2 linked regions of the Oryctolagus cuniculus genome follow. The protein of the gene in region 1 purifies or fractionates together with the protein of each later gene. This does not show direct contact. Links are inferred from orthologs where the notes say so. Each region holds a gene or a part of one and is shown on either strand. Other genes may lie near its edges.

The links.
Region 2: the proteins of PRMT8 (region 1) and EWSR1 purify together in Homo sapiens (affinity purification with mass spectrometry; 3 studies listed by BioGRID and IntAct, counting the BioPlex papers as one, with this or other methods). This does not show direct contact. The link is inferred for Oryctolagus cuniculus from reciprocal best matches to the Homo sapiens genes PRMT8 and EWSR1.

The regions. Positions count from the first base shown.
Region 1 is NC_091440.1:105,797,870-105,801,449, reverse strand, and holds the end of PRMT8 (protein arginine N-methyltransferase 8), read left to right. Parts: intron 1-1,071; coding exon 1,072-1,193; intron 1,194-1,933; coding exon 1,934-2,017; 3' UTR 2,018-2,773; downstream 2,774-3,580. UniProt on the Homo sapiens protein: S-adenosyl-L-methionine-dependent and membrane-associated arginine methyltransferase that can both catalyze the formation of omega-N monomethylarginine (MMA) and asymmetrical dimethylarginine (aDMA) in proteins such as NIFK, myelin basic protein, histone H4, H2A and H2A/H2B dimer.
Region 2 is NC_091452.1:22,698,079-22,701,890, forward strand, and holds part of EWSR1 (RNA-binding protein EWS), read left to right. Parts: intron 1-2,611; coding exon 2,612-2,798; intron 2,799-3,812. UniProt on the Homo sapiens protein: Binds to ssRNA containing the consensus sequence 5'-AGGUAA-3'. Might normally function as a transcriptional repressor. EWS-fusion-proteins (EFPS) may play a role in the tumorigenic process.

The sequences.
Region 1 (3,580 bases):
TTGATGGGTACAGTGAAGCAGCGTAAGGTATCTGCTCCTGGGGAGCTCTGGCCTCACGGAGGCTGCAGCCCTGTAGAGGAAGCAAACAACTGGGGGGGCGGAGGCAAAAGCATCCCCAGTGTGCTAGACACCGTTCTCACACAAGCTCAGGATTCTCTGGGGGCCCCTCCTCCAGGTTTGGGTAATTGAACGAGGTTTCCCAGAGGAAATGACCTTGAGTGAGGAGGAGCAGAGAGGCTGGTGAAGGAGCGAGGGGGAGTGTTCCAAAGCCAGCTGCTGCAGAGGATGGGGAAGACGGCCCCTGAGGCAGGAAAAGACGACCCCTAAGGCAGGAGCACGCACACTTAGCTGGGGGAAGATACAAAGTGCGCAGAGCTGGTGGGTGGGGCTCACTGGGGCAAATGCAGAAGTGCAAGCATCGTCGTGGCTTTGGTGACCAAGCTGGGGGCCGGCACTGGTGCCTCGAGAATCCTCCTTCATCTCTTCTGACCCAGTTAGGAAAGCACGGTTGGAACCTCACAGCAGGCCTGGGCCAACGTGCTCGTTCAGTTCAGGGCCCAGAGCCGCGGGCAGGGAAAGCCGTTTGTCGGATGCAGCAGCAAGTTCATGGGCAAACGGAGGAGCTGAGGGAAGTGGTGTAGCTGTGGAATTTGCACAAAGCTGTCGTTTAAGGGGAGACAGGACGGGCTGCTCTGCCAACCTCTCCCCCGCACTGTGTAAAAGTCTTCACCCTGTGGAACAGTGCCATTTCAGGAGTTCATCTGTGCTACTGAGGTTGGCTGGAGGCATTCGTCATCGCTCCTTGGTATGGAGTTGGTTTCTCCTCTGAGCCCGAGTGTTGGTCCGCAGTCTCGAGTGGATGGAAATCTGGTGGAAAGAGAGGGCAGCGGGACTGAGTGGAAAGTTCTGGTGGGGTCTGGAAGCTTCCCCCTACTCAACAAGAGCGTTGGGTTCGGTGGCTCCACCGAGTCCCCTGGGAAGCCTGCACTCCTACGTGGGATCCCAGCCTCCTCTTTCTGGAGACTTCTTCTCTGACTCTTCCCTCTCACCTGTCCCGTCCTTCACCTCCAGCCCCCGATGCCCCCTACACCCACTGGAAGCAGACCGTCTTCTACTTGGAAGACTACCTCACTGTCCGGAGAGGGGAGGAGATCTACGGGACCATAACCATGAAGCCAAACGCCAAAAATGTGGTGAGTACCAAGGCAGCCAGCCTCTGTGTGGCCGGGGCCAGCAAGGAGAAGGGGCCCGTGGAGCTCCAGGGCCCACCTGCCCAGGTTCTTGAGGGTCTTGCACATAGTCAGAGAAGTCACTGGGGAAGACAGGCGGTGGCCATGTGTGGATGTGACCAGGCGTAGTTCAGAGCCTGCAGCCCTGGCCCCTAAAGACTCAGTAGTCTGCTGTGACCTCTCAGCCTTGGGGACAGCTTCCAGCTCTGCAATCAGAGAGCTTGAGAGCGGAGGTTGCTGTGTGGGAGGCGTCTACCTCATTTAGGACGAGCAAGGCCAGGAGCTAGGAGTCTGTGGTGCCCTAGAGGATATTTGGCCTGTCTTCAGCAGTCCTGGTGGACTGAAGACAAATCTGATTCTCTGTGAGCAACCCTGGCTGTGGACACGTGCACTAAACATCTACCGAGTACTCAGAAGGTTGTGCTGTGGAAGATTCTAGAACCCCAGGATGACGTCAGAGGGAATATTTTTATTTTAGAACAGGAAGAATTTAGGTTAGGCATCAAAAAAACTTCCTGTGAGGATAATGAGGCGCCAGATTCCTGAGGGCTGTTCCGGGGAACTTCTTTGCTAGGAAACCTTGAGGAAACTAGGGCTACCCATCCCCGGGGCACTGCGAGGCAGCCCAAGGCCAGGGAGGGGCTGTGAGCACCGGCCCAGACTAACGCTGGGCCTCTTTGCTCTCTCTCTCTCTCTCTTTGCAGCGAGACCTCGATTTCACAGTAGACCTGGATTTTAAGGGACAGCTGTGTGAAACATCTGTATCTAATGACTACAAAATGCGTTAGCACATGTGGGAAGCCGCAGAGAGCGAGCGAGAAAAAAAAAACCTCTCACTTCCATCTGCCGCGCTGTCCTAAGGAATCCTGTTAGCAGGACTACACACTCGAAAACCAGAGTTAGCAACTCTGCCTTGAAGATTGGGGGCCCGGCCACGGACAGAGGGCCCTGGGCTCGTCCGCTCTGCCCCGGGAGCCCCTCACGAAGGCTTTGCTGGCGCCAAGAAAGAGCAACCTCATGTGCTGTGGCCGGGGCCCCGAAGCTGGAAAAGAACCCGTGTATCCCCCCTTGTCCTCCTTAACTGTGACTCTTTGCATGCTGCAGGCATCTAGGACAGATTGCTCCCACTAGAACCTGGAGACTTGGTGTCTTTGATAGCATAAGCCAGATTATCTGTCTGTGCGGTGGTGTGTGCGTGCGTGTGCGTGCCTACAGCATCTACACTAGTTTATCTACCCACAGACGCCTGTATATGCATGCATATACGACCAAGTGGGTATTCTCCGGAGGGTCGTGTGCGTGCGCGTGCGTGCGTGCGTGCGTGTGCGTAGAACATATATTACTCTCAGAGGAGATTCTGTTGCTTTCGAATAGGACTTTGTTTTGTGATTAGTTGCCCCTCCCCTGCCCCTTACCAGATGTTAAGCAGCTCTGAAACGTTCTCTGTACTAGCTCTGGTCGTCTTTGCACTAGACCGTGGCTCCGAACCCTGAGCATAGGACCACAGACTCTGTGAGCGCCCAATAAACACACATGAGAACGAAGCGATGGGAAGTCGTGCGTTCCTGGGGCTCAGAGCGGGAGGGCAGTGGGAGCCTAAGGGAGAAGCAGCACCCTGTGTCACAGCCAGGGAAATCGGGGCTGGGCTGTGAGTATCTCCCCTGCGCACCGTCAGGGTCCCGGTGAGAAGAGCCTGGAGCTGGGGCAGAAGCTCAGGTGCTCCCCTAGAATGCTCCAGAAAGGGAGGCCACGGACAGACAGCCTGGGAGCACCCAGCAGCCCAGAGACCTGTCGGAGGACATCCCGCCTTTGGGGAGGAATCCCTGTGGGATGGACTTGCCGAGTGCTTGGTCAGGCTGCTGGAGTGTTCGGATTTGGGTTTGGTTTCAGCTGTTCCCCCACCTCCTCCTCTCCCGCCCCCTTCTCCTCCTCCCCCTCATCCATCTTCCCTCCTCTTCCCTCTCCTCCCCCTTCTCCCTCTCCTTCTCTTCCTCCTCTTTCTCTTCCCTTTCCCCTTCTCCTTCTTCTTGAGAGACACAGAGAGCGAGGGCTCCCATCTGCTAATTCACGCCCCCAAATGCCCACAATGACTGGAGCCAAATCTGGGAGTCAGGAACTCCATTCTGGTCTCCCATGCAGCTGACAGGAGTCCAGTGATTTGAGCTATCACCATTGCCCCCTCCCCGCCCAGGGTCTGCAGAGTCCACACTAGCAGGAAGCTGGAGACGGGCGTTGAAGCAGGGACTCTGATAGGGGACATGGGAGTCTTGACCAGCATCTTAACTAAGCCTCTGTTATCCTTCAGCTTCTGAGACCATCCGTCTCATCTACAAGGGGTCATAAAAAAATTC
Region 2 (3,812 bases), on another chromosome or scaffold:
ACTTCTGTGTGGGCGTTCTTTGTTGCCCTTTCAGGCACATTAGCAAGAAGCTGGATTGGAAGTGGAGCAGCTAGGACTCAAACTCAGGGATTGCTGGCTAGGACTCAAACTCACAGGGATTGCTGGCGTCACAGGCAGCAGCCCAACTCTGCGTCGTACCAGCCCCCAACCTGACAGTTTCAAAAAGGAAAATTATGGCCTCTGTATAATTAATTTAAGAATTTTCAAATGTTTGGGGTGGAAAAGAAAATATTATAGTTAGAAAAGATGCCACTTATTTTGAAGATTGATTATTTGAGGCAGAGTTACAGAGAGGGAGAAACAGATATTTCATCTGGTGGTTCACTCCCCTGCAATGCCTGCAGTGGCTGGGGCTGGGCCTTGCCAAAGCCAGGACTGTTGTCTATGTCTCCCACATGGGTAGCAAGAACCCAAGCACTTGGGCCATCTTTTGATGCCTTTCCAGGCGTGTTAGAGAACTGAATTAAAAGTGGAATAGCTAGGGCCAGCGCTGCGGCTCACTAGGCTAATCCTCTGCCTTGCGGCGCCTGCATACCGGGTTCTAGTCCCGGTCAGGGCGCCAGATTCTGTCCCGGTTGCCCCTCTTCCAGGCCAGCTCTCTGCTGTGGCCCGGGAGTGCAGTGGAGGATGGCCCAAGTGCTTGGGCCCTGCACCCCATGGGAGACCAGGAGAAGCACCTGGCTCCTGCCTTCGGATCAGCGCGGTGTGCCGGCCGCAGCGGCCATTGGAGGGTGAACCAACGGCAAAGGAAGACCTTTCTCTCTGTCTCTCTCACTGTCCACTCTGCCTGTCAAAAAAATAAAAAATAATAATAATAAAACAAAAAAGGTGGAATAGCTAGGATTTGAACTTGTGCTTACATGGGATACTTAACCCACTATGCCACAGTGCCAGCCAACAATTTTGATTATACAAAAAATTAAAGTTTATTTGTTTTGGCTTAATACAGTTAGTAAGGACATGTTTATTCTAACAAAAGTTTAAGGCCCTAAACTTCCTTTCTTTTTTTAAGATTCATTTATTCACTCCCCAAATGGCCACAACAGCTAGGGCTTGGCCAGGCAGAAGCCAGGGCCAGGGTCTTTTTTGGGTTTCCCATGTGCTTGGCCATCTTCCACTGTTTTTCTAGGTGCCTTAACAGGGTGCTGGATGGGAAGTGGAGCAGCCAGGACTTGAACCAGCATTCATATGGGATGCCAGTGCCACAAGCAGTGGGTTTACCTGCTATGCCATAGCGCTGACCCCTCTCTTTATAACTTTGATTTCAAATAAATAAATACATCATTTAAAAAAATCTTTTTTAATGAGATTTGAATTTTTCTTTGATGGATATAAATGCTGACATCTAGACCAAACTTTGTATTGCATGGCTTCTATTTGTGCTGTTAACCAAGAGGAAGACAAAACTCTCAGTACCAGGAAAAGTTATGGCACCTTTTATAAGAAAGGGACTCAGAAACTGCTGGCTTTGAGTTTTGCTCATGCTCCAAGCCCAAGTCCCACAGGAAAACACATGGCTCCTGCCTGATCTGGCAGAGGCAGGAGCTGGGGAGGGGCTCCGTCTTGGTGTGCAGCACACCTGTGAGAACAGGTCTTTGTGATTCTTAAAGAGATCCTAAAGGGGAGGTGGGTCTGTAGAGTCTGCCTTTGATATTGCTGAGCAGGAACAGGGCCCCTCTGCCTGTGGTAGGTAAGTTAAGAGAGGAATGGAGCTGGGTAACTTGGTAATCAGCCAAGATCTAAGATCTCAAGAGTTTTATGTCAAGGATGTTACCTTTTAAAGGTTTGTTTAGGGCAGTATTAAGTTTAATTAAAAATAATTTGCCACAAAACTTAAATAGGGTAACCTGTGTGTGTTAAGCAAATGTAATTATAGCATTTCTATTATTTATATGCCATTTAAAACCTTAGTGTTAATAACAGCATTTGTTCTGGTTGTTTTCTGAAACAAAATCAGTTCGTGAGAGTGTTCAATCAATTGTTAACTGCTCCCACAGGAAATTAAATGCATGTTCTCTAGATTTTTGTTTCCTTAAACATGAGCTATTCATGGTGCAGTGTTTGGGACTGAAAAAAATTTAATTACTTACCCAGGCTACAATATTAAACCTAGTACCTGGATCATTATTTTTTGGCAATTTTTAATTGCCACAAAATTTGACATTTGCCTCCTTTTGGGGAACATTGTTGTTGCTTGAGGATTTTAGGGAGTACTTAAGTTTGCTAATTGAGAAACTTAACAGGAAGGCCTGCTGGCAGGATCACAGGATCATTAACAGCAGACTTGGCTGTTACTGAATATCTTCAAGACAGTGCAGAAGGAACCCTTTTTCTTTAGCAGCACTTTCCTCTAGCTACTCATTCTCCTATTATATACGAAATCAGAGCAAGTGAGATGTTATTTTGCTAAAAAAAAAAAACGTTACTTTGGGAGATCTTCGGCTTTAAATAGTGGTTTGTTGTTGCTCTTAATGGAAAATGTTTTAAGAGAAAATTTCATGATGCCTTGAAGGAGATGGTTTTCAGACTGTAAATGTCTGGCAGATCTCTGAGAGATCCCAAAATGTGACAAAACTCTCCTTTGTTCTAGGTTATACTACTCCAACTGCCCCCCAGGCATACAGCCAGCCTGTCCAGGGGTATGGCACTGGTGCTTATGATACCACCACTGCTACAGTCACCACCACCCAGGCCTCCTATGCAGCTCAGTCTGCATATGGCACTCAGCCTGCTTACCCAGCCTATGGGCAGCAGCCCACAGCCACTGCACCTGCAAGGTAAGACCTCACTCACGTGCTCCTCCTAACTACAGTACATCAGCCTCGGATTTGCGGGAAAGAAAGCAGCTGTGCAGGGTTGGAGAACCTGTAGCTTAGTTCTTTAGAGTTGCTACTCTCATGCTGTTAGTGTTGACTGTGTTCTTAGCCATTACAGTGATTAATGTGCTGAAACACACCTCAAAAGAATAACCAGTTTACCGATAAAATGGTGACGTGCAATGGCCAAAATAAGCAGTGTCACTGAATGTGTTGTCAGGTTTCAGAATGGCGACCTTCGGGAGGCTGCTGTTTTTACTCTTCTAAACCCAAGAGATTTGAGTGTTGTCCCTGACAACATACTAATTGATGGGATTATATTTCTGATACTTTTATTGGCCTGCAGTGGATAATAGCTTTCTCCCTGGGATCAGCATGGTAGTTCACAATTCAGGATGTTGAGTAACATGATGTGAGTCTAGAAAGAGTTGTGTGATCCAGCTGTCCATGAAGGACGTATCTGTGGTACAGAAAACCTAGCACTACTGCCTGAGTTTCAGCAGTTGATGTGATTGTCTCTTCATATGTAAAGGCTCTGTAACCTAAATATCATAGCCAAGTATCAATTCTCATCTGGTACCCGACTGTGGGATTAATATTAAGTCCAACAGAACTCATGCCTCATGACTGGGTAGCAGGTAAATAGTATTAATCACTACTTAACAGAAGATTTCAGGTCTTTGCTTTAGACAGTGCACTTAGGTCGCTTCTGCATACAGTCTTGAAGGAACACTGAATTCTGATTTGAATGAAGACTTTTAGGGACTAAGCACGATCAACTTGTAACCTAGACTTTTTGTCTGCTGTAGAGGTAAGAAATTAGCTGTGTCAAACGCTCGAAAGCACTTCTAAAATGCACAGTGAGTAATCAGAGCCGCCTGGTGGTTTGCACCTGATAGATAGCCTGTGCAGCAGTTAGGTTAAACTGCCTGGTTAATTCCCAGATGGGCCCCATTTCAGTTGACCTAGGTTCTT